Macaca fascicularis: one gene and its partners. The protein of the gene in region 1 interacts with the protein of each later gene in a pairwise test. Links are inferred from orthologs where the notes say so. Each region holds a gene or a part of one and is shown in the gene's direction. Other genes may lie near its edges.

The links.
Region 2: the proteins of NUPR1 (region 1) and MPHOSPH6 interact in a two-hybrid assay, tested with the Homo sapiens proteins (2 studies listed by BioGRID and IntAct). The link is inferred for Macaca fascicularis from reciprocal best matches to the Homo sapiens genes NUPR1 and MPHOSPH6.
Region 3: the proteins of NUPR1 (region 1) and KNSTRN interact in a two-hybrid assay, tested with the Homo sapiens proteins (2 studies listed by BioGRID and IntAct). The link is inferred for Macaca fascicularis from reciprocal best matches to the Homo sapiens genes NUPR1 and KNSTRN.
Region 4: the proteins of NUPR1 (region 1) and STX18 interact in a two-hybrid assay, tested with the Homo sapiens proteins (2 studies listed by BioGRID and IntAct). The link is inferred for Macaca fascicularis from reciprocal best matches to the Homo sapiens genes NUPR1 and STX18.
Region 5: the proteins of NUPR1 (region 1) and RAN interact in a two-hybrid assay, tested with the Homo sapiens proteins (2 studies listed by BioGRID and IntAct). The link is inferred for Macaca fascicularis from reciprocal best matches to the Homo sapiens genes NUPR1 and RAN.

What each region holds. Positions count from the first base shown.
Region 1 is NC_088394.1:27,793,014-27,798,824, reverse strand, and holds NUPR1 (nuclear protein 1), read left to right. Parts: upstream 1-2,918; 5' UTR 2,919-2,998; coding exon 2,999-3,110; intron 3,111-3,711; coding exon 3,712-3,902; 3' UTR 3,903-3,915; intron 3,916-4,245; 3' UTR 4,246-4,550; downstream 4,551-5,811. UniProt on the Homo sapiens protein: Transcription regulator that converts stress signals into a program of gene expression that empowers cells with resistance to the stress induced by a change in their microenvironment.
Region 2 is NC_088394.1:78,050,161-78,056,741, reverse strand, and holds the start of MPHOSPH6 (M-phase phosphoprotein 6), read left to right. Parts: upstream 1-2,934; 5' UTR 2,935-2,936; coding exon 2,937-3,068; intron 3,069-3,357; exon of another isoform or gene 3,358-3,479; intron 3,480-5,166; exon of another isoform or gene 5,167-5,221; coding exon of another isoform or gene 5,222-5,224; intron 5,225-6,581. UniProt on the Homo sapiens protein: RNA-binding protein that associates with the RNA exosome complex. Involved in the 3'-processing of the 7S pre-RNA to the mature 5.8S rRNA and play a role in recruiting the RNA exosome complex to pre-rRNA; this function may include C1D.
Region 3 is NC_088381.1:16,881,211-16,887,263, forward strand, and holds part of KNSTRN (small kinetochore-associated protein), read left to right. Parts: intron 1-2,094; coding exon 2,095-2,227; intron 2,228-2,900; coding exon 2,901-2,948; intron 2,949-5,051; coding exon 5,052-5,157; intron 5,158-5,386; coding exon 5,387-5,480; intron 5,481-6,053. UniProt on the Homo sapiens protein: Essential component of the mitotic spindle required for faithful chromosome segregation and progression into anaphase.
Region 4 is NC_088379.1:8,632,343-8,638,395, forward strand, and holds part of STX18 (syntaxin-18), read left to right. Parts: intron 1-1,654; coding exon 1,655-1,713; intron 1,714-3,272; coding exon 3,273-3,342; intron 3,343-5,927; coding exon 5,928-6,008; intron 6,009-6,053. UniProt on the Homo sapiens protein: Syntaxin that may be involved in targeting and fusion of Golgi-derived retrograde transport vesicles with the ER.
Region 5 is NC_088385.1:137,992,590-137,998,233, forward strand, and holds the end of RAN (GTP-binding nuclear protein Ran), read left to right. Parts: intron 1-277; coding exon 278-465; intron 466-1,362; coding exon 1,363-1,533; intron 1,534-1,632; coding exon 1,633-1,677; 3' UTR 1,678-3,418; downstream 3,419-5,644. UniProt on the Homo sapiens protein: GTPase involved in nucleocytoplasmic transport, participating both to the import and the export from the nucleus of proteins and RNAs. Switches between a cytoplasmic GDP- and a nuclear GTP-bound state by nucleotide exchange and GTP hydrolysis.

The sequences.
Region 1 (5,811 bases):
ATCTTAGCAGAGCCTTGTGTATTCAACTAGACATTTACTGAGCTGAGACTGAGTGCCAGGCATGGAGAATACAATATGTCAGGCAAGATTCCTGCCCCAAGAATAATGATAATTAAAATAGCAAGCATTTATTGCACACTGATTATCTTCTAGGCACTGCATTAAGCCTTTTCTTTTTTTTTTTTGAGACCAAGTCTCACTCTGTCATTCAGGCTGGAGTGCAGTGGCACGATGTCGGCTCACCGCTACCTCTGCCTCCTGGGTTCAAGCGATTCTCCTGCCTCAGCCTCCTGAGTAGCTGGGATTACAGGCGCCCGCCACCACGCCTAGCTAATTTTTGTACTTTTAGTAGAGACAGAGTTTCACCATCTTGGCTAGGCTGCTCTCAAACTCCTGATCTCATGATCCACCCACCTCGGCCTCCCAAAGTGCTGGGATTACAGGTGTGAGCCACCGTGCCCGACCCTGGCCTTCTTTTCTTTTTCTTTTTGGAGTGCAGTGGCACGATCATAGCTCACTGCAGCCTCGAACTCCTGGCCTCAAGTGATCCTTCCACCTCACCCTCTCAAACAGTGGGTTTGCAGGTGTGCCTCACCTTACCCAGCCTAGGTGCCATTAACTCCATTGTCTAGATGAGTAAACAAACGTGGAGGCTAGGCTTGTCTAAGGGCACACAGCTAACTAGGGGGTAGAACCAAGCTTTAGACCCGGGAAGCCCTGTTCCAGAGCTTACTCCTTTAACCATTAACTAAACTAAACCAGTGGGGACAAATAATGGAGAAGTAAACAATAAAAAAGATACTGGCCGGGTGGCTCACGCCTGTAATTCCAGCACTTTGGGAGGCCAAGGCGGGCGGATCACCTGAGGTCAGGAGTTCGAGACCAGCCTGGGCAACATGGTGAAAGCCCGTCTCTACTGAAAATATAAAAATTAGCCAGGCGTGGTGGCACATGCCTGTAATTCCAGCTACTTGGGAGGTTGAGGCAGGAGAATCACTTGAACCCCTGGAGGTGGAGGTTGCAGTGAGCCGAGATCACACCACTGCACTCCAGCCTGGCGACAGAGCGAGACTCCGTCTCAAAAAAAAAAAAAGAAAAAAGAAAAACCAACCAAACAAAAAAAGACGGAGTCTTGCTCTATTGCCCAAGCTGGCCTTGAATTCCCAGTTTCAAGCAATCTTCCCAGCTTACCCTCCCAGAGCCCTGGAATTACAGGCATGAGCGACCACACTAGGCCAATCTTTGCTTAATTTAATATTATTTTCCTCTTTCTCTGATCACCTGGTCTGTTATTATTGCCCCAACCTTGTTTTCATTAAAGTATCCTGTCTTCACTTTCATTTCCTGGATGTTAAGCAACTCATACATCATCTAAATCTGGGAAAACAAAGGCTAAATTCAATTCCAGCTCAGGCAAGGGAGAAACACAAGCAGAAGTTCAGCTTTTTGTGTTTTTGTTTTTGTTTTCAGACACAGTCTCTTTCTGTCGCTGAGGCTGGAGTATAGCAGCTCGATCTTGGCTCACTGCAACCTCTGCCTCCCAGGTTCAAGCTATTCTCCTGCCTCAGCCTCCTGAGTGGCTGGGACTACCGGCACTTGCCACCACACCCGGCTAATTTTTTTATTTTTAGTAGAGATGTGATTTCGCCATGTTGGCCAGGCTGGTCTTGAACCCCTAACTTCAGGTGATCCACCTGCCTTGTGGATCTCCCAAAGTGCTGGGACTACAGGCGTGAGCCACTGCGCTTGACCTCATTATGTCTTCTGCCTCAGTATAATCCATATTTTGAAATACATATTTTGAAATACATAATATTTTATAATAATTTGTTTTTGAGACAGGGTCTCTCTCTGTCACCAGGCACTGTGGCAAGTTTCTTGCAAACATTATCTCATTTGATCCTCTCCCCAACTCTAGGAAGAAGATACAATTATTATCATCCTTGTTTTACAGAATTGGAAACCAAGGCACAGAGAGGTAAAGGGACCCACCTAAGGTCACACGGAAAGTGGTGGGTCAGGGGATTGAACCGAGGGCATCTGGCTCCAGACCCTGAACTCTCCAACCCTCTGCCGCCCTCCTCCTAGGTGAGGGAGATTACATTACTGGGGACCCTGTTTCAGGATATGAAGGGGTTTTCCAAGATGTTTCTCATAGAAAAAAAAAAAGGGTGTGGCTAATGCCCATAATCCCAGCACTTTGGGAGGCTGAGGCAGGCAGATCACTTGAGATCACAAGTTCGACACCAGCCTGGCCAACATGGTGAAACCCCATCTCTACTAAAAATACAAAAATTACCCAGGCGTGGTGGCAGGTGCCTATAATCCCAGCTACTGGGGAGGCTGAGCCAGGAGAATTGCTTAAACCCAGGAGGAGGAGATTGCAGTGAGCCGAGATCATACCACTGCACTCCAGACAGGCGACAGAGACTCCATCTCAAAAAAAAAAAAAAAAAGAAGAAAACAAGATGTTGAGTGTGACTGGGTGGAAGCCGCTGACTTGTCCCTGGCACAAGTGTGCTGATATCCCCTCCCCCTCCTTCCTCACATCCTGCATCTCAGCGAGAATTGGCGTGCTGGGGTTAGCTGTGTGGCCATCACCCCAGGCCCAGGTGAAGCCCTCGATCAGGTGAGGCCATGATCCCAAGGAGTGTTTAAGCTCAGATCCTGCCTCTTCCCTGCTTTCTGCCGAGAAGCGGGACCTCCTCTGTGGAAAATATCCAGCTGGGCGAGCCTGGGAGGCAGGAGGTGAGTGGGGCCGGACTCAGGGACCAACTCTTCCCGTCTCATGACTGTGTTTACTGGGCTGGATTTTGAGAAGGGGCCAGATTGCATCAGACAGGGCCTAATGGGCTGGAGCCAGACTGTGGTCTGAGGAGGAGACACAGCCTTATAAGCTGAGGGAGTGGACTGGGAGTGGAGAGGCACGGGGCCAGGAAAGCAGAGAAAGACAAAGCGTTAGGAGAAGAAGACAGGCAGGGAGGACAAGCCAGGCACGATGGCCACCTTCCCACCAGCAACCAGCGCCCCCCAGCAGCCCCGAGGCCCAGAGGACGAGGACCCCAGCCTGGATGAATCTGACCTCTACAGCCTGGCCCATTCCTACCTGGGTAAGGCCCACTCGGCCATCTCCACGGTCCTTCCTCCTCTCCCGAAATCAGGACCCCTCCATAGACTTCGCACCCTCTCCTTTCCTCTCCTCTCCTTTCCTTTCCTCTTCGTTTCTTTCTTTCTTTCTTTTTTTTTTTTTTTTTTGAGAGAGTCACTCTGTCACCCAGGCTGGAGTGCAGCTGTGTGATCACAACTCACCGCAGCCCCAAACTCCTGGGCTCGAGTGATCCTCCTGCTTCAGTCTCCCGAGTAGCTGGAACTTCAGGTGTGCACCACCTGTAGTGGTGAGGTGGGGTCTCACTATGTTGCCCAGGCTGATGTCAAATTCCTGGGCTCAAGCAGTTCTCCTGTCTTGGCCTCCTAAAGCACTGAGATTACAGGAGTGAGCCACCCTGCCCAGCCCACTCACCGTTTTCTAGCCAACGTGTTCCTTGGACCCTCACGTCACCCCTGTCTAGTCCCTTATCCCAAGAGTGCTGTGTTACTCAGCCTGGGATCTCACACACATCTGGGGTCCCACATTCCACAGAGGGGAAGCAGCAGAATTCCCCCTGCTCTTCCCATCCCCGCAACTCCAACCCCCTGCCTCTCCTCTGACAGGGCGTCTCATCGTGCCTTTGCCCACTTCACCTCTGCCTCCTGCCTTGGTTACAGGAGGTGGAGGCCGGAAAGGTCGCACCAAGAGAGAAGCTGCTGCCAACACCAACCGCCCCAGCCCTGGCGGGCACGAGAGGAAACTGGTGACCAAGCTGCAGAATTCAGAGAGGAAGAAGCGAGGGGCACGACGCTGAGACAGAGCTGGAGGTAAGGAGTCGGGGGGCCCAGAGAGCTCAAGGTGGCGCCTCTGCCATGAAGGACAGCCGGAAGGTGCGCGGTTGGGTGGGGAGGAGGGATCAGACAACTGTTATCTCAATGCAGAATAAAATGAGACACACGTTTGGCTGTTTTCTAGCGGCCAGAGCAAAGGGGAACACAGAACCTTTCCAATTGGAGGGAAATTTGACTTACAGAGACAGAAACTGAGGCTGGAGAGGGTGGGTCCTTCCCTGTAGTCACAAATCAATTAAGTGGGAGAGGCAGAATTAGAACCCAGATCTCTGTCCCTTTCATCACCTGCTTTTCCTCGCCCCCTAGATGAGGCCGGACCATGGACACTACACCCAGCAATGGAGACAGGACTGCGGAGGAAGGAAGAACCAAGACAGGATCCAGGCCAGCTTGCCACACCCCCCACCCCTGGGACTTATCCCCGCTGACTGAGTCTCTGAGGGGCTACCAGGAAAGCACCTCCAACCCCAGCAAAAGTGCAAGATGGGGAGTGAGAGGAAGGGAATGGAGAGGCAGAGCCAGGAAGATACCCCCAGAAAAGAAAGCTACAGAAGAAGCTGGGGCTCCTCTAGGGCAGCAGCACCAATAAATAGACGCGCACGGCAGCCACAGCTTGGGTGTGTTTTCATCCTTGCTCTTTCTGTGTTTTTGTTCGGGCACGTATGTGCCTGCCTGTGCCTGCACATGCATGAGCCCGGGAGAGCATCTTTGGTGTGTATTAGTGTTTGGTATATGTATCTGGGGCAGGGAGTATTCCTGCTCTTACAGGGGTCTACGCTGTGAATATGGCTTTTGGTTCGTTTGTTTTTGCTTGCATATATTTTAGTGCATACATTTTTCTGTGGGCTCCTACATAGTGGAAAACAATTTCTTCTGCTTTTTTGCGATACTGCCCATGAAACACGGCCCTCCCCAGCGCCTGTTTTTGTTGATTATGTCCTGTTCATAGACGGGAATGCTACTTATGGATGCCATCTAAAAGATGGAGAAAACTGAGATTTAAAATATTAAAGGCCAGGGCCAGGCGCAGTGGCTCATGCCTGTAATCTCAACACTTTGGGAGGCTGAGGCAGGCGGATCACAAGGTCAGGAGTTTGAGAATAGCCTGACCAACATGGTGAAACCCCGTCTCTCTAAAAATACCAAAAATTAGCCAAGCATGGTGGTGCACGCCTGTAATCCCAGTTACTCAGGAGGCTGAGGCAGTAGAATCACTTGAACCTGGGAGGTGGAAGTTGCAGTGAGCCGAGATCATGCCATTGCACCCCAGCCTGGGTGACAGAAGGATATTCTGTCTCAAAAAAAAAAAAAAAAAAAACTAAAGTCCGGGAGCAGTGGCTCATGCCTGAAATCACAGCACTTTAGGAGGCTGAGGTGGGAGGATCACCTGAGCCTAGGAGTTCGAGACCAGCCTGAGCATCATAGCAAGACCTCATCTCTACACATTTTTTTGTTGTTTTTTTTTTTTTTTTTTTTTTTTGATTCAGAGTCTCACTCTGTCGCTTAGGCTGGAGTGTAGTGGCATGATCTCGGCTCACTGCAACCTCCGCCTCCTGGGTTCAAGCCACTCTCCTGCCTCAGCCTCCTGAGTAGCTGGGACTACAGGCACCTGCCATCACGCCTGGCTAATTTTTGTATTTTTAGTAGAAACGGGGTTTCACCATGTTGGCCAGGATAGTTTCAATCTCCTGATCTCGTGATCTACCCGCCTCGGCCTCCCAAGGTGCTGGGATTACGGGTGTGAGCCACCACGCCCAGCCAATTTTTGTATTTTTAGTAGAGATGGGGTTTCACCATGTTGGCCAGGCTGGTCTCGAACTCCTGACCTCCAATGATCTGCCCACCTCAGCCTCCCAGCCTTTGGGGGGCCAA
Region 2 (6,581 bases), about 50 Mb from region 1:
TGTCAATGTTTCAGGAAAACAAATCAGAATCCAGACTGGTACAACAGGAGTCCATAGAGAAGGTGTGGCGCTTCTAGCATCCTTAGATGATAGATATATGCTCTTATTTCTGCCGGGAATGCTGTTTTCCTCTTCTGAAGCTGATAAGACATGTGTTCATCCTAGTTCGGTTGCCCCTTAGTTTTCCAAGTGCAGATGGCAGACTGAGTCACTTCTCCCTTCACCTCTACTCTCACAGCAGTTCTTTGAAAATCCTGCACAAAAGTCAAATTTATAGAGACAAAAAGTAGTCGCGAGGGGCTGAGGAATTATTGTTTAATGGGAACAGAGTTTTCGTTTTGCAATATGAAGAGTCCTATGGATGGATGGTTGTAAAAGCAGCACAACAGTGTGAATGATTGGTGGGCCTTTCCCCTGATTAGCTCCTCTCCACGTTTAGGAGCGTCCTCTTTTCCAGGCCAGAATGATTTAGGTACCCTTGCTGTACCCTTTCGTGACCCTCATACTTTCCTTACCGGGCTCTCATCACAACTGTCATCTACAGCTAATTCTGTGGTATATTAGTCTGCCAGGGTTACTGTAAGAAAACACTACGGATTGGGTGCCTTATACAGACTGGGTGTGATTTTCTCACAGTGCTGGAGACTAGAAGTCTAAGATCAAGGTGTTGGCAGGTTTGGTTTCTCCTGAGGCATTTTTTTTTTAATTTATTTATTTATTGGCTTTCAGATAGTCTTTCCTTTATGCAAACACAATCTTGGTGTCTGTGTCCAAATTTCCTCTTCTTATGAAGACATCAGTCAGACTGGATTAGGGCTCACCCTAAGGGTCTTGTTTTTGGTTTTTGTTTTGTTTTGTTTTTGAGACGGAGTCTCGCTCTGTCGCCCAGGCTGGAGTGCAGTGGCGCGATCTCCGCTCACTGCAAGCCCCGCCGCCTCCCGGGTTATCGCCATTCTCCTGCCTCAGCCACCCTAGAAGCTGGGACTACAGGCGCCCGCCATCACGCCTGGCTAATTTTTTTGTATTTTCAGTAGACACGGGGTTTCACCGTGTTCGCCAGGATGGTCTCGATCTCCTGACCTCGTGATCCGTCCGCCTAGGCCTCCCAAAGTGCTGGGATTACAGGCGTGAGCCACCGCGCCCAGCCAGGGTCTTGTTTTAATCACCTCTTTAAAGGTTCTGTCTCCAAATACACTCACATTCTGAGGCACTGGGAGTTGGAACTTCAACATATGAATTTTGGGGGATGCAATGAGGCTTGTGATTAACCTCTACTGTTTCCACTTGTTAAACTTTATAACACCAGGGACTTTGTCTTGTTCATATTTCAGGACCTTTACCGTTGCTGCTGTCTTCGGAGCACACTACCTCCAACTCTTCATACAACAGGTTTTTCTCAACTTTCAAGCCTTAGCACCACCATCTGACAAGGGCCATTCCAGACCACCTTGTCTAAAGTAACCCTAAACGTTACTCTAGGGGTCACAACACTGTTTCCTCTATTTCACGGCAGTCACCACTTACTTATGTCCAGAATATCAGCTTCAGGAAAGATGAGGATAGGTGTTTTTACACGCTATTATACCCCGGCATCTCACACACAGTCACAAGTGAATAAGATTCTGTAGCCACTTAGTACATTACAATGATTTTATTTACTCCTGGGAAAACCTCAAGGGCTTTTAACATCCAAATCGGTGTTTGAATTTCAGCTCTAACATGGATTAGCTGTGTGAATTCCACCAAGTCCCTTACCCGCTCTGTGTCTCAGAATCCCTAACAACACGATGACAATACCTTCTTTCCGGTTCTTATGGAGATTAAGCGAACTAATTACCCATAAGGTGACCAGGTCAAGAATCTGACATAGAATCTATGCTATCAGCTGAAATGCTATTAGCTTGAGGGTGTTCCAAAGCGTCGGACCTGGGAATGATTTTTGAAAACGTGTTTAGTTGGTACCCAGAGCATTAAACACCAGGGTATGAATGCCACTCTATTTTCAGTGGTTTTTAAAATTCTTTTTTGTTTTGTTTTTGAAACAAAGGCTTGCTCTATAGCCCAAGGTGGTGTCCAGTGGTGGGATCTCAGCTCACTGCAGCCTCGACCTCCCGGGTTCCAGTGATTTTCCAGCCTCAGCCTCCCAAGTAATGGAGACCACAGGTCCGTGCCACCACACCCACCTATTTTTTTTTTTTTTTTTTTTGGTAGAGATAGGGTCTCACTATGTTGCCCAGGCTGGTCTTTTCAATTCTTTAGATCAAAACCAAGCCTTCTTCTCATTCAGGTGTCTTTGGCACCCATGCCTGCCTCCATCCCTTGCAGTTTCTTCAGATTCTTCTGTTTAGCAGGGATCACTCGGCCAGACACGCACCGGCAGCAGCCCGGGGATGAAGCCAGCCCGCCTGGGGTGGCCCCCGCCACGCTCCCCGGGACTCAGGGCTGCTGTAAGGAAAGCAGCAACTCGTAGGGTCCTGGTGAAGAGCAAACGACCTGGCCCCTGCACAGGGACCCAGAACACAGGAAGCCCGCCATCCACGTTAGGAAAACAATACACGTGGGTAACCAGACCCAGGCGGGTGGCACGCGTGACGCAAACCTGTGAGGCTGGCGAGGACTACTGAGTCTGAAGGGAGTCTCTGAGGAAGGGAGTCCCTGAGCGAGGATGGGTCCCCGAGGGGGCCAGGCCGACGTCCCGGGAAGGCGGCCCCCGGCTCGGGGAAGCCAGGCTCTGGATCCTCCTCTGACTTTGGCCTTTTTGGGATCTGCCGCGCTCATCCCCGCGCCACCGCGCCGCGCGCTTACCCCAGCCTCTCAGTCACCAGAGCGCCCGCTGAGTGGCCGCGCCGGCGCGCGACACGCAGCGGCGGGGCCGCGGGGCGGAGCGGGGCGGCGCGCTTTACGAGAGCGACGCAGCTGCGAACGCGGCTCCGCGCATGTGCAGTGAGGCTCGCGGCCGGAGTGCGGCGCTGGGCGGAAGCCACCATGGCGGCCGAGCGGAAGACAAAGTTGTCCAAGAATCTGCTGCGCATGAAGGTGCGGGGACACTGAGAGAGCCATGCCGGGCGGTAGGGGCACCCGATCGTTCCGACCTGGCCAGGGCCGAGGCGGCGGGCGAACGAGGGACACCAGAGGGGCCTCAGAGGGCTTCCAGCTCTCGTGCTCATTCATTCACTTAGCGCCTGGTCTGCACTGTTTACTGGGAACCGGGTTACGAATTAGGCCGACTCTCAGGAGGCCCACGGGTGGATGGGAGCTCGCATACACAGGAGCAAGCAGTCAGGGTACAGCTTACCAAGTGCAGTGAGGGTAGAAGCGCCGGAGCCCTGGGAACTCACCCAGCTTCTCGCGGGGTAGTGGTCCCTTTAGGTTCCTGGGAGGGTGGGAGGCACAGCGTCCTAAACTAGGAGAAACCTGAGTTCAGAAGTCCACGAGGCAAGAAAGAAAAAGAAAACCATGGAGATTTCCAAGAATGAGAGGTAATTCAGTATGTCTGGAAGGCAAGTACTAAGAAATGGGGTTGCAGAGTAGGCAGTGGTCACAACGTGCAGGAAATTTGAGGCCAGATTAAGGATATTTTCCTTTATTTTGTGAGCAATGGAAAGCTATTGACACGGGGAACAGTATAAAAAAATAGCAACTATTTATAGTACTAGACAATGTTTTAAGGGGTTTGCGTATATTAACCTGTGCAATTCACATAATGACACTTTGAGGTGACTACAGGCAATAACTCTCTTTTTACAGTTAAGGCAACTGAAACAGAAATAAGTAACTTACTCAAAGTCGCACAGCTAATAAGTAGTGTAGACAGGACGGGAACTCAGGCAGTCTTGCTCCAGAACCCTGGCTCTGTGTTACTTACTCTGTGATGCCTGTCACTGAGCACTACTTATAGAGGGTAGCAAACTGTTACATGTCATGTTTAAAGAGGTCGAATTTCCAAAAGAAGGAAGGAAGCGTTCATAATGTTTTGAAAGATTGGAGAGAGAGGCCATTCGCAGTGGTTCATGCCTGTAATCTCAGCACTTTGAGAGGCTGAGGTAGACAAATCGCTTAAGCCCAGGTGTTTTAAGACCAGCCTGGGCAACATGGTGAAACCTCATCTCTACAAAAGATACAAAATATTCGTTGGGCCTTGTGGCACGCACCTGTAGTCCCAGCTATTTGGGAGGCTGAAGTGGGAGGATCACTTGAGCCTGGGAGATCGAGGCTGCAGAGAGCTGAGATGGTGCCACTGCACTCCAGCCTGGGTGACAGAGGGAGACCCTGTCTCAAAAAAAAAAGAGAGTAAACATTACATGGGCAAGATTTGAATGGAGTTGAGCTAGGATGGAATTAGGAATGAATGGGTGAATGAGGATGCAGGACAAATTACATCTAACTTAGAGTTTGTCAAGCACTTTCATGCATATTAGGAAAATTTGAATCTTTACTGAACAGAGTTTGCTTTTGATTTTATGATTTGTAATAACATTAATTTCAGAGAAGTGGAGTGAACTGACCAAGCAGATATTGAAAAGATTTTAGCAGTTGTTTTAGCTCTTGGAATAAGCCAGATGATGTACTGGGTGACTCAGGCTCAAACTAAATATCTGAGTTGCAACTAAGAAGGAAGAAATTAACTTAAAACAAGTGTCCACTCCCACCAAATGGGGAGACGCAACTGGACATTGGAAGCAAAGGAGAAGGAAAAAGATCACCCAGATTCTGTATTTGGTTTAGCAGTTTTGGTCATTGATGAGAAAAAACTTACTGGCAAGATAGCAGGAGACACTATCTATACTGATAGAAAAGAGTATACTGTGAGAAGGCATGGAACAGCTGCACTTAGGGTGCCTTAACCAGAGCTAAGTCCTATATAACATGGGTCCCCAACCACTAGGCCACGGAGCAGCACCAGTCCATGACCTGTTAGGAACGGGCTGCTCAACAGGAGGCGAGCAGCAGGCAGCAAGCGAGTGAAGCTTCATCTATATTTACAGCTGCTCCCCATAGCTTGCATTACCACCTGAGCTCCGCCTCCTGCCAGATCAGTGGCAGAATCCTAGATTCTCCTAGGATCAAAAACCCTACCGTGAACTGCACCTATGAAGGATCTACCTTGAGCTCTACTTATGAGAATCTAATACCTGATGATCTGTCGTTGTCTCCCATCACACACAGATGAGACTGTCTAGTTTCAGGAAAACAAGCTCAGGGCTTCCACTGATTCTACATTATGGTGAGTTGTATAATTATTTCGTTACATATTATAATAATAGAAACAAAGTGCGCAATAAATGTAATGCACTTGAATCATCCCTAAACCATCTACCCCTCCCCTCTCCACCACCCATGGAAAAATTGTCTTCCAGGAAACCCATCCCTGGGGACCACTTTTTAGGGCAAGTATGAGAGGGTTGAGGATTTAATCCTGACTCACTTGAAGGCCTCTGACTTGGTCAGCCATTGCAGGATGATCCCGATGGGAAGCAGAAAAAGAAAGATGTGGATGGAAGGTCTTCCAGTATGGAATGGTTGTAGAAAGGGTGCTTATTTGTGATTTTAGTACTGTTAGACTTTTAGAACAGGGCTTGGCAAGCTTTCTGTAAAAGACCATATAATAAATATTTTGGGCTTATGAGCCAGACAGTCTCTGTTACAACTACTCAGCTCTGCCAGTGTTGTTTGGGACAGGATGACCATGGCTGTATCAACAACAACGGACATCTAGCCTGAGGACCATATTGTGCTGTTGCCTGCTGTGAGTCCCCACTGGTTTTGGAGTGTGTTCTGAAATGCCCTAGAGTAGGAGAATCGAACTTCTACCTAAGTCTGGAGGTGCTTGATTCATATTCACAGGGAGTTCTATCCTTTCTGTGTGTACAGAACATATGTATATGGCTATTTTGTATACCAAAGGAATAGGTACATGACTAAATAGGAGAAATAAGGGCAGTTGGGTGGTATTGATGAGTTTTACCACGAGGCATATTAGTGATGAAATGAGGTATATGCACTTAAAAAAAACCATCCCAGAAAGAGAGTCTGGAAAAATAAGACAAGTCTAGGTTCATTTACATTCAGAGAACCTTCATTGAGTGAGCTCTTGTGTACCAAGGGTGCCGCCTAAGTACCAATGATACAAGATGAACAAGAGTCATGGTCTATTCAGAATCATAGTCTTGGGAGACACCAAAGCAGCATGATGGTGAACAATAATCCAGTGTTTATCAGGCTGTCTTGGGAAGGTGCTTCTTTATAGGAGCAGGCCTGGGAAGAGCCAAGCCAAATGCCAGCCAGGGAAGTCTTACCAAAGGACACATGCTGTGGGCCTAAAAGAGTAAATATTTTGCCAGACAGAAAATGGAAACATGTTGTTAAGTCGCAAAGGCAAAAGGACCGGGAAATATAGTGTGCACGTTCCAGAAACTACAGTTCTTTCCTGGGATGAGGATATAGGCACAGGTAAAATGGATGAGGACTGCAAAACACTAGTCTGCAAACTTGTTTTCTTTTACTTTTTATTTAAAATAGTGATAGATTCACAGGAAGTTGCAAAAAGTATACAGGGATATCCCGTGCATCCTTCATGCCAC
Region 3 (6,053 bases), on another chromosome or scaffold:
TGCCTAATCTAGAGATTATAGTACAGAATAAGCTTCAGACATCAGAAAACTGTTGCGGGAGATTGTGGAGTAGCTATTTATGATCTCTTCCCAGATGATTCCACTCAGCTGGTACATAAACCTTGGCAGGATTGAGCTCTGAAGTAAATAGGCTTTTCTCCAAAGGCTTAATGGGTTGTTTGTTGTCTTGTGTAGCCACAGAACACCTGAATGGTAATCCTGGCACCAGCGGGGACTAGGAGTTGCTGGAAGAACTGGAGCCAGGTCTCAGCTGCTTGCTGTGTCTTTCCCTTAGATGCAGTGCCCTCAGTCAGTGGGCAGTGACTAGCTCTCTCAGCCAAGCTGCGAGTGTTCATCTCTTGGGTTTACATCTCTGTCCCAGCTTTATGATCATATGTAACTGGAACAGTTTCAAATTTTTACACTGCCTCCCAGGTTTTTTGTTTTGATTTTGAGCATGGGCTGGATAAGTAATTTATGCACATGTAAAAAAAAAAAGTTGGAAAACCATATACAATGATAAACAAGTTTCCTTCCCTTCCTTGACACCAGCCATCCAGTTCCCCTCCCAGTGTCTCCCATTTTTAGGAGACAGCTTTGTGAAATCCTACTAAGTTTTTCTACATTGCAATCCTTAGGTTTTAGCAAATACGAATTATTGGAACCAATTCTAGTCAATGAAGAGTGTTAATTTTGATCAATCGACTGTTAATTCCATTTTACATGGAGTAGATTTGTTGTTTATAACTTGCTAATACTTGAGAGAGGAGAAGATGATATTTCTCCAAGGTTACTTTTTACTTCAGACAGACACCTCAAAAAGAACCCTTTTAATACCTCATTTGTACCGCATTTCTTCAATTTGATTTGATTGTAATGGCTCTTAAGTTAGGTCAAGCTTAAAGGGGCCATTTTACAGTGAACAAAGTGAGAATGAGTCCAGAAAAGCCTGCGTGTGAGGGTGGGGGTGCTTTTAACTCCAGATAAGTTACTTGAATTTGCTGTAGAACATGAATGATGGACTGTGTGGTTGGGGAGCTGGCACAAGGATGAAGGAAAATTCTCACCTTTGGGGAAGAAGAGTGTTATGGCAGGGCCATTTCTCTGGTTATCTGGCAAGAAGATCAGATTAGAATGCCTAATAGCGAAACTCTAAACTTAACGAAGGGTAAACGAAAGAGCTGGTGGTAGAGGCAGTCAGCATGGAAGAGGAAGGGACCAGACAGGTAGTTTAGAGATGGTCTGTGAAACAACCTATGCAACTGTGAAGTGTTTGATTTATTCAACAAGCAGTTATTGAACCCCTGTTCATATGCCAAATATTCTTCTAGGTGATGGGGACACAAAGATGTCTTAGAGTGGTTAGGAAGATATTCTGGGAAAAAGAACGAAGTAACAATTTAAAAAAACTCAGAGCAGCTCAGTCATGCCTTAGGAGAGTGTGCAGCGTGCTTGGAGTTGCTTAACGAGATGGTACAAGGATTCAGCCGTGTTTTACTTCCACCCTGCTCTCTGCTGGTGTCCATCTCCATGTTCACTTTTACAGCCTCCACCTTTCAGTTCAACGAAACTTTTGGCTACCCTCAAACACACTGTACTGTCCATTTAAAGAATTTTGGTTTTTATTGCCAATTAGCCTGGAAGTTTTATTCTTTTGAATTAATATCACATGTTGAAATTTGCCAGAATGAAAATAAAGATTTGGCCAGGCGTGGTGGCTCACGCCTGGGAGGCCACAGCAGGAGGATTGCTTGAACCCAGGAGTTCGAGGCCAGGCTGGGCAACATAGTGAAACCCTGTCTCTATTTTTTAAATTTTATTTTAAAACATATTTTAGGTGCCTGTAGTCCAGCTACTCAGGAGGCTGAGGCAGGAGAATCTCTTGAACCCAAGAGGCAGAGGTTGCAGTGAGCCAAGATCGCACCACTGTACTCCAGCCTGGGCCACAGAGCGAGACTCTGTCTCAAAAAATTAATAATATTTTTTAAAATACAGTAAAGATTTATGACAACTTAGAATGGGGCTCTGTTTGTTATAGGGTTGCAGCTGTCGGCTCACGATGCCAGAAGTTTTACCTCTCGTTTTCCTTTGCAGACACACAAACTCGGGCCACTTCTAAGAGTCTGTTACCTGTTAGGTCCAAAGAAGTCGATGTTTCCAAACAGCTTCATTCAGGAGGTCCAGAGAATGATGTTACAAAAATCACCAAACTGAGACGAGAGAATGGGTGAGAACGCATCATTAGTATCCAGTTAGAACATCTTCCTAGAAATTGATCAATACAAAGAATTAGAAAACAGGATTTTGGGGAATACAAGGCTCCTGAACAACTGGCCTTCAGTCAGTGGCCCAGAGCTATGCAGCATTCCTGAGCTCTTTGCCAGAACCCTCTGGGTTGATCTTTCTGAAGAGACACAGCCAGGGCTATGAGAGGTGTTCTTTCCTCTTTCATCGCTTGCTCTGAGGATACAAATGGCAGCACTGTAGTCATACGCCAACCCTGAGGGGTAGTCATGTGGGGTGGGGACTAGTTGTTACCCTAGGTTGCTGGTCTGACCACAGTCCAGCCCTAGCGTAGTGTGTGTGTGTGTCCCCAGCCAGCATTCAGTTCCCAGGTGAGTGAGGTTGACATGAGATAGCCACGCCATCTTGAGAGGAGCAGCTCTGTCAGGATGTTGGGGTGGTCGGGGTCATGCCCCGGTGCTACTAATAAGCCTTTTCAATAGTCTGTGCTGAAACAATAATGCATAGTCCCTCAGAGCTCTCAAGCTTGTGCCATTTGCCTTGTATGTCATCCCTGGTTCTTTCCTCAGAAACTCAAGTTCTTTGTTCTGCCTGTTCACTGCACACTTAACAGTACTATGAGTCTCTGATTCATTTCTTTGTTTCTGCCCTCCTAGGCAAATGAAAGCTACTGATACCACCACCAGAAGGAATGTCAGAAAAGGGTGAGCATCAGGGTAAATCAACTTGGCCACTGTTCTAGGGTAGTGGATCTCAATCCTTGTTTCTGCATCAGAATCACTCGTGGGACTTGTTTACTGTGTTAGGGTCTGGGTTCCACCTCAGGAACCTGCGTGGAATTTTCAGGGGTGAGGCACAGCTAGGTGTAAGAACCATTGTCAGTGCAAGAATCAGTGGTGCTACTATCTTGAGTCTCAAGCAAGAGCTTTTTGGACTCTACGCCAGGACCACTGTTGATCAGAAATCACACTTAGCTATGGCCCATCAACAGGAGGGTGAAGCCTTCAGGAGAGGAAGGGCTGCCTGTAGTTAGTGATCTCGAGATGAAGATTCTGGTGGTGGTGAAATCCGGGAGAGAAGGTTCATCTCTCATCTTTGAGGCTAGCTTCGAAGTTTTGCACTATCAGAAATAGAAATAATACGCTGAAAAGTCTGTACAAATAGGTTTTAGTTCCAGATCTATTATTTGGGCTTATCCTAAGAGTTTTGAAGATAGCAGGGCACAGTGGCTCATGCCTATAATCTCAACACTTTGGGAGGCCAAGGCTGGTGGATAACCTGAGGTTAGGAGTTCGAGTCCAGCCTGGGAAACATGATGAGACCCCATCTCTACTAAAAATACAAAAATTAGCCGGGCGTGGTGGCGCATGTCTATAATCCCAGCTACTCAGGAGGCTGAGGCGGGAGAATCACTTCATTCCCAGAGACAGAGGTTGCAGTGAGCCAAGATCACATCATTGCACTCCAGCCTAGGAGACAGAGCGAGACTCTGACTTAAAAAAATAAAAAAGTTTTGAAGACAAAATACTAGCAATAAAGACTGAGGCCAGGCGCGGTGGCTCAAGCCTTAATCCCAGCACTTTGGGAGGCCAGGACGGGCGGATCACGAGGTCAGGAGATTGAGACCATCCTGGCTAACACGGTGAAACCCCGTCTCTACTAAAAAGTACAAAAAACTAGCCGGGCGAGGTGGCGGGCGCCTGTAGTCCCAGCTACTCCGGAGGCTGAGGCAGGAGAATGGCGGAAACCCAGGAGGCGGAGCTTGCAGTGAGCTGAGATCTGGCCACTGCACTCCAGCCTGGGCGACAGTGGGAGACTCCATCTCAAAAAAACAAAACAAAACAAAAAAGACTGAGAACGTTAAGAAAAAACTCTAGGCCCGGCGCAGTGGCTGACGCCTGTAACCCCAGCACTTTGGGAGGCTGAAGCGGGCAGATCACAAGGTCAGGAGATCGAGACCATCCTGGCTAACATAGTGAAACCCCGTCTCTACTAAAAATACAAAAAATTAGCCGAGTGTGGTGACAGGTGCCTGTAGTCCCAGCTACTTGGGAGGCTGAGGTAGGAGAATGGCGTCAACCCGGGAGGCGGAGTTTGCAGTGAGCCCAGATAGCGCCACTGCACTCCAGCCTGGGCGACAGAGCGAGACTCCATCTCAAAAAAAAAAAAAAAAGAAAAAAGAAAAAACTCTAATATTGGTGATATTAGAGTTTATTAGATGATAAACATTATATTATTTTATTACATATCAGCCCAGCTACTGGGCTAAGAAATGCACATGGGTTTTCTCTCTTATTAATAATAATACTATGAGATGTAGGTATTGTCCTAATTGCCAAAATGAGGAAACAGGGCTTCAGGGAGCTTATGCAACTCACTGAAGGTCATAACCACTATGTAAATAGCCAGGATAGGAACAGGACGTGTTTGTGTAACTCTGTAGGCCATTTTTTTTTTTTTTTTTTTTTTTGAGACGGAGTTTTGCTCTTGTTGCCCAGGCTGGAGTGCAATGGTGCAATCTCAGCTCACACAGCCTCCACCTCCTAGGTTCAAGCGATTCTCTTGCCTCAACCTCCCAAATAACTGGGATTACAGGCATGCGCCACCACGCCCAGCTAATTTTTGTATTTGTAGTAGAGACAGGGTTTCTCCATGTTGGTCAGGCTGGTCTTGAACTCTTGACCTCAGGTGATCTGCCCACCTCAGCCTCCCAAAGTGCTGGGATTACAGGCGTGAGCTACTGCGCCTGGTGTAGGCCATGCTCTTAACCCTTTTGTCTTTTCATGTAAGTACAACTGTTATTACAGCTACAAACCACTGAGTAAGCAAAAATCAGAGGACGAGCTCAAGGACAAGAACCAGCTCTTAGAAGCCGTCAACAAGCAGTTGCACCAGAAGTTGACTGAAACTCAGGTAAGAGACCCACCAGAGCTCTGTTACCAGCTGCCACTGGGCAATGCACATGGAATCCTGATGGATGGCCCCTTGGGTGAGCAAGCTTGTTAATGCACAAATGCCCAAGGGCAGAAAAAAAAAAACAAAACAGGCTTTTGCTATGGCTGTCCAAGAGCAAGGGCAAGAAAGGGCGACCACCCCTAGGGATTGGGACAGTTCCTGATCTGTCTGTGCGGTGCTCCAACAGGGAGAGCTGAAGGACCTGACCCAAAAGGTAGAGCTGCTGGAGAAGTTTCGGGACAACTGTTTGGCAATTTTGGAGAGCAAGGGCCTTGATCCAGGTAAGAGATAGCACACAGCTAGCTGTCTTTGAAGGGATCAGTGCATGTGTCCCTTCCTGGGTTGATCTTGGCAGCATGGCATCAGCTGGCCCAGTAAGTGCAGGGGTTACTTCAGTAAAGCCCTAAAGATTTTGGAGGGCTTCTGTTTGTTTTCATGTGATGTTGATTTTTGCCTGGCCAATAGAATTTCAGAGGATTATATAGAGAGAAGGTTATCTCTTTCTTACCTGAACACTTTATGCCAACAGGTATGACCTTGCAAGTAGATGAGAAATATTTTGTTCCTTTCAAGGGAGAATATTTTCTGTCTCTTCCCATTTGGGAAAGTTACTAGTGTGCTTGAAAGGAACATTTTGTTTGAACATGTTCTTCCTCGCAAGCATACTAGTAACTTCTCAAATGGGAAGAGACAGAAAATACTACTTCAAGCATTCTTAAACCTGGCTAATCAGTAGAATTACAGTGACTAAAAAATGACTACTGTTACCCTGTCCCCCAGAGAGCAGAATCTGTAGCAAAGAGAGCAGTAGAAAGAATTGTCCAAAGACTGTAAGAGGGCCTCAGCCTGAGTCA
Region 4 (6,053 bases), on another chromosome or scaffold:
GGTCATGGATAACAGTGTGCCTTAGACCTGATCTGTAGGGGCAACGGGCAAGGCCAGCATGAGGCATTCTGGCATGACCAGCACTTGAGATCACTTTGACCAAGGATTGGATAACAGGCTGGAGGCAAGTGAGAAATGATGAGGGTAGAACGTGGACAGTAGGGGAAGGGCTGAATACAGCAAGTGCATGTGTGGGGGCAAAACTGGTGGACTTAGGAAGGGGCGCATGTGTGAAGAGCACCTGCATAGAGCACAGCTGGGGTACTTGGGGGGGAGGGGTTCTGGGTGGGAAGGAGACTGCTGGGGAGGCCCTGCAACTCATTTCCGCCCTAGGACAACGGGAACAAGGTCGGGCTGTTGCATGAGTCTGTGCATCCCAGCGCAGGAAGCGCCAACATAGCCCATGGTGGTCAGCTGCCTCCCATAACCATTGTTTCCCTTGTATTTTTGGTTTACTAAGCAAGTGATAAGCCCGATCTTCAGTCGATTCGGAGCCTCTGGGGGCTTGCTTGTATTTATTCCTCCAACCCCTGTTACAGAATGCTCGGAAAACATTTGTGATTTGATGGCAGCTTTAATTGATATGAAAGAAAGAATAACTGGAATGCCTTTGCAAAGTTACATTCCACACAGTTCCCACCCTCAGGAAGCTCAGAGTGACACAGGAAGTTTGGGATGTGCAGTTTATTACAAGGCAGAAAGGGACTACTATCCGAAGATATTTTCAGAAAATGGTAGGCCAGGAATAGGAATATGAGAAATAAGTTTGAGCTTAGGGGCCCGGGTAGGTCTCCTGGAGAAGTGGGGCCATGGAGGAAATGCAGGATGCCCCGGACTCCCTGCACATTCCGGGAGTTGAATGGACCCACAAGGACAGGGCTGTGGGGGCCTGCGGTGAGGGCAAGGAGCTGTTCCTTGTTCCTGTCCATTCTCTGTGCTGAGTTTCAGGAGCTTCCATCCTTTTCTTTAGCCCATATCAAGCTGGCAAGAATGGCTGAGAGAGCAACTATCTGTGCCAAGCTCACTCAGCTCCAAGAAGCTCCCATGTATCCCTGGTGTCAGGGCACCTGGCCTCACCTAGCCTGAGCACTGGGAAACATGCTGGTCTGGCTCTGGGCCTCTGTCCCTGTTGAGCAGTGGAGTGGCCAGGGGCATGGCTCTGAGGTCAGAGGGGCCCAGGGGCAGATTGGCCAAGCTGCCGACCCCCTCTTCCTCTCCAGACCCTCCCCACACCAGATCCTTCTCCATATTAAAAAATATGTGTAGTCCTTCAGTATACTTCATGAGAGAAAACAACAACAAAAGAATTTTTTTAATAATGGTACCAGAGGCAGGAAGCTGGCCGTGGGAGCCCAGGGGAGAGCGCATAAGTAGATACAGCTACAGCCATAGCAGTCAGCTTGCACCCCTGGAGTGCAGTGGTTGAGATGGAAAAGTCGATTACCAGGCAGCACAGCTGTGTTTTAAAAGTTTCTCCTGAAAGCAGGGGCGTTGTTCACACTAATGCTCTCGGTCATCCGGCACCGGCCACCATGTTGCTGCAGCTGGAAATGGGGGCTTTGCCAGTGGTTCCTGGAGCGCAGGTCCGCATTCTTGTTAGACTCTTGCCTGAGTTCAGTATGATGTCATCCTGAGTGTGTTTGTTTCCTCGCAGTTTGAACAGGAAAATCAGCGACTCATTGGTGAAATGAACAGCTTGTTTGATGAAGTGAGGTATGTTTGTGGCTCCTCTGTGAGCTGAGAGCCTGCTTTACAACTTTCCAGGAACTAGGAACGTTATTTACCTTGGTGCCCAGGCATCCACATGGGGCCCCTGGGCTGGTGCAGCCCCCCTCAGCCATTTTGACAGGGCTGGGGTGGGCATGTGGCCTGAATCTACAACTCCCTCAGCCTGTGGGCCTGTGGGTTACCTCCCGCCTGCTGCCACTGCTGCGGGGGGCCCAGATGCTTTCTACCCCAAGAGATGCAGGAGTGACTGCAGATTACCTGCGTGTAATTTCCACCACCATTTGGGCTGTTTCCATGCAGCGACTCTGAAATGAAATGGGGCCCTCGTGAAGGACAGCTGACCAAGGGAAGCCCTCTTTTGCAAATGGCTCCACTGGGGTCTGCCTGCTCCTGTACCCCCCAGGGGGTCAGGAATGCAGAAGGCAAGGCCTTGGTCACCCACACGTGCACCCACTGAACTCTAGTTTCTGTGGGAAGGCCTGCAGCATGCTGAAAGTAAGGCCCGGGACTTTGCAGAGCCTGTTGTATTGTGGACATGTCCCCCAAATCAAATCAATCCTGATGCTGCACTCACACAGCCTGAGGATTTTCTCAGTGTAGGTGTCAGCCTCCCAGGGGCTCTTCGCCTTCTGCCCTCAGATGGACCTCCTAGTCCTCCTCCAACAGCCTACCTTTCACTGTCCGTCCCCGCTACTCCCCCATGCCCAGATACTCACTGGCTTTTCTTCCCCCATCTCCTCCCCTGCCCTCCTGCCACTGTGACACTGTTGGGATTCGTGTCTGCTTCCACCTGGCCAGGAGCTCAGCTCCCACCACTTTTCGCCTCCTGCCACTTCCTGTCGCTGCTTTGTGCTGGAACAGCAGTTAACTTCAGCCTGGGCCAGCTTCCGTTTGTAAATAGATGGGCCCCCACCTGTCCCCCAGGGTAGCCCAGGCTGCCCCTGACACCAGGAAGATGGCTAGCCCAAGTGTTTCCGATCCGACAGAACACTCCATTGCCAAACCAAGACATGGCATTTTCTAAATGAATCAGAGGAGCTTTTTTCTTGGAACAGGGAGTTGGTTTGAGGGTAAATACACTTTTTTCTTTAACCCGCTGAGCAGTAACAAAGCAGGATCATCAGCATATTCTGACCTTCTGAATCCCCACCATGTGTTACCATGGTGACAAGGCTAGGCAGAGAACTTACTGGAGACTGCTTTCTGTAACTGGGGCATAACCAGACCCTCCCCGGTCCTTGACCAGTGACACAGAATGCAAAGGGCACTGCCCACACCCACCTCTTGGGACTGGGGCTCAGTTGGCATGGTCGAGTGGACTTCCAAAAAGCCCAGCGTGCTAGGCTACACCGGGAGACAGGGAAGGTGACCCAGTAAGGAGAGTTTGCCTTCCTCTCCAATCTCTTCCCCCAGCCAACATGGTATGCTCCCCCGTCTCTCCCACCTTCATGTAGAAGACAGGATTTCTTTAGAAATGTGTAACAGTCCTGTTAGATTACCAAGTACTAATAGTTAATATGTAATCTATTCTTCTTTTTATGAAGGCAAATCGAAGGGAGAGTGGTTGAGATTTCCAGACTCCAAGAGATATTCACGGAAAAGGTTTTGCAACAGGTAAAAACAAAAACAAAAACAAAGTAGCTGTACGTTTTAACTTAAAGGGGAATGTACTTGAGAGACATTTTCCCAAAGGCTGCTGCTCTGCGCAGCCAGGAGCAGAGCCATGTGTTGCTAGCAGGTGTGCGTGCGCAGAGCTCCTCAGGGCAAAGCTCTCACTACCCAGAGCTGCCTCTGCACACGTGTGACGGAGGAGGAGCTCCCCACAGGGGATCCACTGGCCCCACTGACCACGCCGTGTGGTGGCGCATGCAGTGGCATGTGGGAGGAGAGTCCAGGCCTGGCAGTCAGGGTTCTGGATGTGCTGGGTGAGCTAGGTAGCCCGGCCAGGCAACAGTTTCCATCTATAGATTGGAGTGACCCCTGCAGGGTTGTTCTCCATTTGAGAGAGAACTACAGAACGATGCTGACGGGCAGTTGCTTTTCTGTCAGTAGAGTTACAGGAGCTCAGGCCCAGGCCTCTCACAGTGCGAGGTCCATGCCGCCTCAGGGATGGTGCCTGCATGGGAAATAGGATTGTTCTTTTCAAGTCAATTTTCTGAAATTCTTCCAGCCAATAACTGGCAAAACTTTTAGTGACCTAATAAATTTGCCCTTTTCTTTTTAGCACCCAAAGACAATGGGAACGTTTTGTCTTAGTATGTTAAACTACTTAACTTAAAATACTTCTCTCAAAATGACTTTCCATAAACCACACAGCCAGAGTGAAATCATTGTAAATGAGGTACATTAAGTCTAACAGCAGTTTGGAAGTTCGGGTTCATAGGAGTTGCTCTTTTGAATAACACTACCCTGCTTCAAACCTCCCAGCGGCTGCAGGGGGCCTGGAAGGGGTGTGCAGAGCACAGGCAGAGCCTTGCCTTGGCTCACCAGGAGTTTCTTTTTTTATTTTTTTTTATTTTTTTTGGAGACGGAGTCTCGCTGTGTCACCCAGGCTGGAGTGGTGTTGTGATCTTGGCTCACTGCAACCTCCTCCTGGGTTCAAGCGATTCTCCTGCCTCAGTCAGCCTCCCGAGTAGCTGGGATTACAGGCATGCCACCACGCCTGGCTAATTTTGGTATGTTTAGTAGAGACGGGGTTTCACCATCTTGGCCAGGCTGATCCCGAACTCCTGACTTCAGGTGATCCACCCGTCTCGGCCTCCCAAAGTGCTGGGATTACAGGCATGAGCCACCAGGCCCGGCCCACCAGGAGTTTCTAAGTCCTGAGGAACGATATGTGTTTCTTGTTTTTTTCATCAGTGTTACATTGTAGTTCATATTGATTCTCTCATTGGAACCTTGGCAGTGGTCACTTAGCTCACACTTCGAGATTCTCTAAAATGGGGTGATGACAGGGCAAAGCCATCTCGGTAATATTCATTGCTGGGAATAGAGGCCAGAGGCTGCCTTCCTCCCTAAAATGTGTCAGGTTTCTCTAAAAACCCACACTAGCATTCATTCCACCCGACCGTGTTAGGAAGCAGCTTCACCACCGCCAAAAGGAGGAGAGAAGCAGGCACTCCTGCTCATAAGGCCGTCTAGCACCGTTGCTGCTCCTGCGGGGCCAGACGCCCCCTTGTTAGACCAGGATCCCACACTCCTCAAGCTTTCCGAGGCTTTGTTTGGAGTAAACGTTTTATGTAAGCATTCTGCATCCTATTCTGATTTTAAAATTTAGCCTGTTTTTTTAAAGATATAATTGTAAAACACAAAGCACTGTTTTTGAAGCTAGCATATGTATTTCGAAACACATATATGTTAAAGCTTACTTCTGTGGACTTCAGAAAGAAATGAGAGACTAGAAGGGAAACCTCTGGCATATGGTGGCTGCTCCACAAACAGTAGCTCTTAGGTTTTTGTCCCTGTCATCAGCAAGTGGCACAGGAGGGATGGTAGGTGCAGTGGAAGGAGCACTGCAACAAGATGGGGTCTCAGCCCTGCACGGTGACTCACGCCTGTAATCCCAGCACTTTGGGAGACCAAGGCGGGAGCATGGCATGAGCTCAAGAGTTCAAGACCAGCCTGGGCAACATAGGGAGACCCCCATCTCTACAAGAAAGTTTTAAGATTTAGCTAGGTGTGGTGGCGCATGCCCATACTCCCAGCTACTTGGGAGGCTGAAGTGGGAGGATCATTTAAGCCCTGTCTCAAAAAAAAAAAAAAGTCTCATCTCAGTCCTGCCACTTGGTTGCTATGTGACATGACTTTGGTCAAGTTAGTAAACTTCTCTGAGCCGTGAGTTTCCCTTTCAGAAAATAGGGGTAATACCTACTTCTTGGGGTGCTGTGAGGGTTTGTGGCTGTGCAAGTAAAGCCGTTTGCCCTTGCTGACGGCTGCTGTTCTTGTCATGATATATGCTTCGGGGAGGAGGAAGTTGCTGTATAGGTCAAGCATCCCTAAACTTAAAATCCAAAACGTGAAATCCTAAGTGCTCCAAAATCTGAAAGTTTCTGAGTGCCGACACGACACTCAAAGGAAACGCTTGTTGGAAACTCTCTGAGTGCCGACATGATACTCAAGGGAAATGCTCGAGGGAGCATTTTGGATTTCAGGTTTTTGGATAAAGGATACTCAACTTGTATTTATCTTTTCTTCCACAGGAAGCTGAGATTGATAGCATTCACCAGTTAGTTGTGGGGGCAACTGAAAATATCAAGGAAGGCAACGAAGACATCAGAGAGGTAGGTACTGTTTGGGTTCCCCAGGTCCGACGTGGTGCAGCACTG
Region 5 (5,644 bases), on another chromosome or scaffold:
TCTCACTTGGCATTAATTACTTCAGATAGTGTTTTGGGGATGAGGGGAGTATTAATGGTGAAGTTTATCAGGGAGATTTGATAGAATCAGCTCATCTTTCTTAGGAAGAGTTCTGTGTTAATGTTCTTAGAATTGAAAGAGACTTTGAAAGTGAGGGGAGAGATCTAGGTGCCTCGTTGAGGTCTAAGACTATAGTTGAATCCTAGTCTGCGGTTCTTAGCATTCTTCACTTGTGTGGTAAACTGAGTGTACTAATTACCGCAACTGTTTCTTTCAGCCCAGTGTGCCATCATCATGTTTGACGTAACATCGAGAGTTACTTACAAGAACGTGCCTAACTGGCATAGAGATCTGGTGCGAGTGTGTGAAAACATCCCCATTGTGTTGTGTGGTAACAAAGTGGACATTAAGGACAGGAAAGTGAAGGCGAAATCCATTGTCTTCCACCGAAAGAAGAATCTTCAGGTGTGTAAAATTAAAACTTCCTGAGTTATTTCTCTTAGCGGAGATTGTATGTAAGACCATGAAATTGACCAGTGTCTATTATATATGGAAATGATTTTTTTTCTCCCAAGATGGAGTCCCGCTCTGTCCCCCAGGCTGGAGTGCAGTGACGCAATCTGGGCTCACTGCGACCTCCGCCTCCCGGGTTCAAGCAGTTCTCCTGTCTCAGCTCCCCTAGTAGCTGGATTAAAGGCATGTACCACCACGCCTGGCTAATTTTTGTACTTTTTTTTTTTTTTTTTTTAGTAGAGACGGGGTTTCACCATGTTGGTCAGGCTGATCTCCAACTCCTGACCTTAAGTGATCCACTTGCCTCGGCCTCCTGAAGTGCTGGGATTACAGGCATGAGCCACTGTGCTGGCAGGAAATAATTTTGTCTTTTTTTATACTATTGTTTTTAAAGAATGATAGAGATGGGGTTTCACTGTTGTCCGGGTTGGTCAACTGAGATACGTGTGTGTATTTATATATTCTTTGTTTTTTGAGACAGGGTCTTGCCCTGTTGCCCTGGCGGGAGTGCAGTGGCATGAACATAGCTCACTGCAGCCTTGAACTCCTGGGCTCAAGCAGTCCTCCCACTTCAGCCTTCTGAGTAGCTGGGACCACAGGCATTCAAGACCATGCCCACCTAATTTGTTTTTTTGTAGAAATGGGATCTTGCTCTGTTGCCCAGGCCTGATCTTGTACTATTGGCCTCAGGCAATCCTCCCACCTCAGCCCCCCCCCAAAGTGCTGGGATTACAGGCATGAGCCACCATGCCTTGCCAAGAATCTTAACATTTTCTTGTCTTGCCATGTCCTAGAAAAATCGTCATCTTAATGAATTTTAAAAGGTAAAAATTATTTTCTTTTAAACAGTACTATGACATTTCTGCCAAAAGTAACTACAACTTTGAAAAGCCCTTCCTCTGGCTCGCTAGGAAGCTCATTGGAGACCCTAACTTGGAATTTGTTGCCATGCCTGCTCTTGCCCCACCGGAAGTTGTCATGGACCCAGCTTTGGCAGCGCAGTATGAGCACGACTTAGAGGTATTACGGCCACTTTGCTGTCTAGGCTATAACGTTTGACTTGTATATTCCTGGCAGTTTTGATCTGGAGTGTTAACATTTTTTCATCTCTTCGTCTAGGTTGCTCAGACAACTGCTCTCCCGGATGAGGATGATGACCTGTGAGAATGGAGCTGGAGCCCAGCGTCAGAAGTCTAGTTTTATAGGCAGCTGTCCTGTGATGTCAGCGGTGCAGCGTGTGTGCCACCTCATTATTATCTAGCTAAGCGGAACATGTGCTTCATCTGTGGGATGCTGAAGGAGATGAGTGGGCTTCGGAGTGAATGTGGCAGTTTAAAAAATACCTTCATTGTTTGGACCTGCATATTTAGTTGTTTTGGAACGCAGTTGATTCCTTGAGTTTCAAATATAAGACTGCTACAGTCACATCACAATATTCAGTGGTGAAATCTTGTTTTGTTACTGTCATTCCCATTCCTTTTCGTTTAGAATCAGAATAAAGTTGTATTTCAAATATCTAAGCAAGTGAACTCATCCCTTGTTTATAAATAGCATTTGGAAATCGCTAAAATAGGGAAATTTTATGCCATGTTAATATTTGAATTGCCTTGCTATTATCGCTTAATTTGAAATCTATTGGGTTAATTTCTCCCTATGTCTACTTTTTATTTTTGTACATTTGAGCCATGTCGCACAAACTGATTATGGCAGATCAGCAGTATTCTATTTGGTTAGAAGGGTCACATGGTGTAAATATTAGTGCAGTTAAGCTAAAGCAATGTTTGCTCCACCTTCATTTTGGCTAGGTAGGGTCACCTAGGGAAGAACTTGCTCAAAATTTGTGACCTGTCAGAATAAAAAATAATGTGGTTTGTATATATGAAATAGATATTTTAAGGGTAATACTTTTGTTTTATGGCAAAAGTAATCATGTTTTAATGTAGAACTTCAAACAGGATGGAATATCAGTGGATGGCAGGAGCTTGGGAATTCTTGCTGTTAAGTACAAATTTTGCACTTTTTGAATGTTAGATGCTTAGTGTAAAGTTGATACGCAAGGAAAATGGTCCATGTTTACCCACGGTTTTCAGGTACTCCCGGACTTTAAAGATGTCTTGGACATTAAGTTCTTAAGCAGTACACACTACACCGTTTATTTTTTTTTTTCCTCCTAAGGATTTTTTTGTAGGGCAGCACAGCAGAGCAGGACATGGATGAAATACTAGGAATACGCATAGTGGGGCAGTGTGGGGGCTTCTCAGCAATGGAGAACAGTTGGTGAAACCTTTATTTTTATCAAACTAAGCATTTAATCTTGTATATTTCCCACATTTAAAAATGAATTAGGTCTCTATCCTAATTAGGATTTGATCCCATCAACACTATTGTAGCAGTTAGGAATCTTAAGAGCTATTTTTTTTTCATACAATTACTATAGTCCAGTTTACCAAAGTTTTCTTTAGATGTCTGATTATCTTGAGGTGATTACTTACCTTAAAAGGTATAGAAAGGATCACTTACATATATGGAAAAATGAAACAAGGGTGAAGCTGAATAAAGTTCTACTTACTGTATTAACTGGCAACAGTTGAGTTTCTTAAGATCTGAATTGCTGTGTATGTTACGCTGTATTCAGAACCAGTTTCTAACCAGCCTGTGAGATGGGAAGTTTTTTTCCCATAATTGGGATGAAACCTTTCATTCAGATATTTTGAATTGAAGGTGTATGTGTTGTTTGTAACCTTGTGTAGATTGCAAGTGGTGTTGACATTCTGGATCTTCTATGTAACAGTTGAAATTTGGAAGTGACGTCGCTTACCTGTCTAACATGGTGTGGGAGAGAATTTACAAGTCATTTATTGAAAGAATAATTGTTGCAAAATATATTGCTTCGACTTTGCCTGGATTTTTTGAATCATCTGTAGTATTTGCTTTAGGAAATACTGACTAGTTAGCAGAGATTATTATCTTTTATGTGGGGGGTGGGGTGGGGAAGGGGTCATTTCTCTCCAGATTGTACATATGGGAAAAGTTGGCTCTCCCTTTTTTGAAATCTAATGAAAGCTTTATACGAAGTTACTGCAAACTAGTAATAGCTTATTCGAGCAACGTCATTAAGAAAAAGCATAGTTAACGCATGGGTCTTGTGTGGATATAATGTGAAACATTGGTAAATTAGCGGGCAAAATGTTGGAGAGCAGTTTCAATTTGTGTGAGAGCCAGTTTTTTTTTTTTTTTAAACCCATATAGAATTTTTTTTTTTTTTTTAATCATAAAATGTCTGGAAAAGATGAGACTCCAAAATAACCTCCAAAGAGGACTGGTTTCCTGGCTAACTGTTCACCTGAAGGAACTCAAGTACAGAGAATTTCTGGTTTCTTCTGCAAAAACATCAGGAACACAAAAAATTACCCGCTGAGCAAATGGGGTGAGGGTTGGATTCAGCTTTTCTTGCTGGCAAACTGACACATCGTGTATGATGCTTTCTGCCACGTTGGGGCTGTGCAGGGCTGTCCTGCCCAGCAGGATAACGTGAGACTAAGCTCTCCCTGTGTGAGGCAGACCTTGTACTAGGACAGCAGCCATCCTAACTCCCTGCAGCACCTTTTACCCTTGAAGCCTAGGGCATGTTGGGGAGAAACCGCACCTCAGCACGGAAACCTTATCTTTAGTTAAGGGGTCAGAGTCCAATTCAAAAAACATCTGATGCATCTCTCTTGCTCCACATTTCCTACAAGGTCTTGCAAGCTCTGGTGACACGTGCATCCTGAGATCACACACCTGTGTGCATACTGCTTTTCAGAACTCCCCCTTACCTCTCCTGAAGTCAGTCCTACCAGTTAATGCTTTACCTGCTTTAGAATTCACTCACTGGTTTTTACCTTAAGTGAGTCAGATGTCCGACTACAGACATCACAGATTGCTCTCAGCCCTAGTCAGCATGGCAAATTTGCAATTGCGACTTTCCCTTCCTAGTCTAATTGCCACCGGGGCAAGGGCCATGTCACTGCTTTTTCATGTCCCTAGTGTTTACTAAATGTTCTATGGGAACCTGAAGGAACAGAGAACTTGGGGGTTAGAGAGAGAGTGGGATTGATGGAGGTGGGTGGAGAGGAGCTGGGAGAACTTTATACACCATTAGGTCTGACTATTCCGAAGTCATGCTGGTATTTCCTTCCCGAGGTTTGTAGCTTATACTCTCTTTTTAGTTTTTTAGATTAATTTATTTTTATTTATTTATTTACTTTTTTAGAGTCTCTCTCTCCCAGGCTGGAGTGCAGTGGCGCGATCTCAGCTTACTGCAACCTCTGCCTCCCGGGTTCAGGCGTTTCTCATGCCTCAGCCTTCTGGGTAGCTGGGACAGGCATGCGCATACACTGTCTTCTATCCATTTATTCTGGCTTGTTTCTTTAGTGTACAGGAGTAGAGAGAGTCAGTGTGGACAGTCGGGAAACTTGCGGGATGGAACTCAGTTAAAATGGTGCCATCAGCGGGTGTTGGGGCCGTGAGGCTTGAAGTTTAGTCACAGGCATTGGAAAAGGCACCTTGGATTTAGTTGGTTTTCAGTTCCCTACTGAAGCAAAGTAGAAACCATTCTGTATACATTGGCCTTTGGTAATGTGGACAGTTCAGTCCTCCTGTCCAGTCAGCTGTGCTCAGAGATAGACTGTGCAGTGCTGCAGTGGCTTTGCTCATGAAGCCCTGGCCTGGGGAGACAGGCAGTCCGGTTCCCTGGGATGAGGCTGAGCGCTGCAGCGAGTGGGAGGAGCGACAGCAGGATGAGGCTTTGGGAGCATCGCAGGGGCCTGGTCTGAGGCCTGAGAAGGAGGGCGGTGGAGTCCAGGAGAGACTCTGAGGGGGAAGGCCCCCTGGTGAGCAGGCGGGAAGGTGGGGTGCACAGGCGGAGGCTCTCAAGCAGGCGTGTGGTTTTTTATAAGCCGGTTTACAGTTTGGCATTTAGAACACAATGGGACGCCACAGAAGGCTCAAGCGTCATAAGATTTTGGCAACAGGAGTGGGTGCCCAGGGTCCAGGGGCAGCCAGCCTTGCCCCCGCCAAGCCTATGCTCCAGGAAAGGAAGGGTCGCACCGTGGCCACCACAAAGCCTCGTCGTCCAGCCCCTCAGCGTACT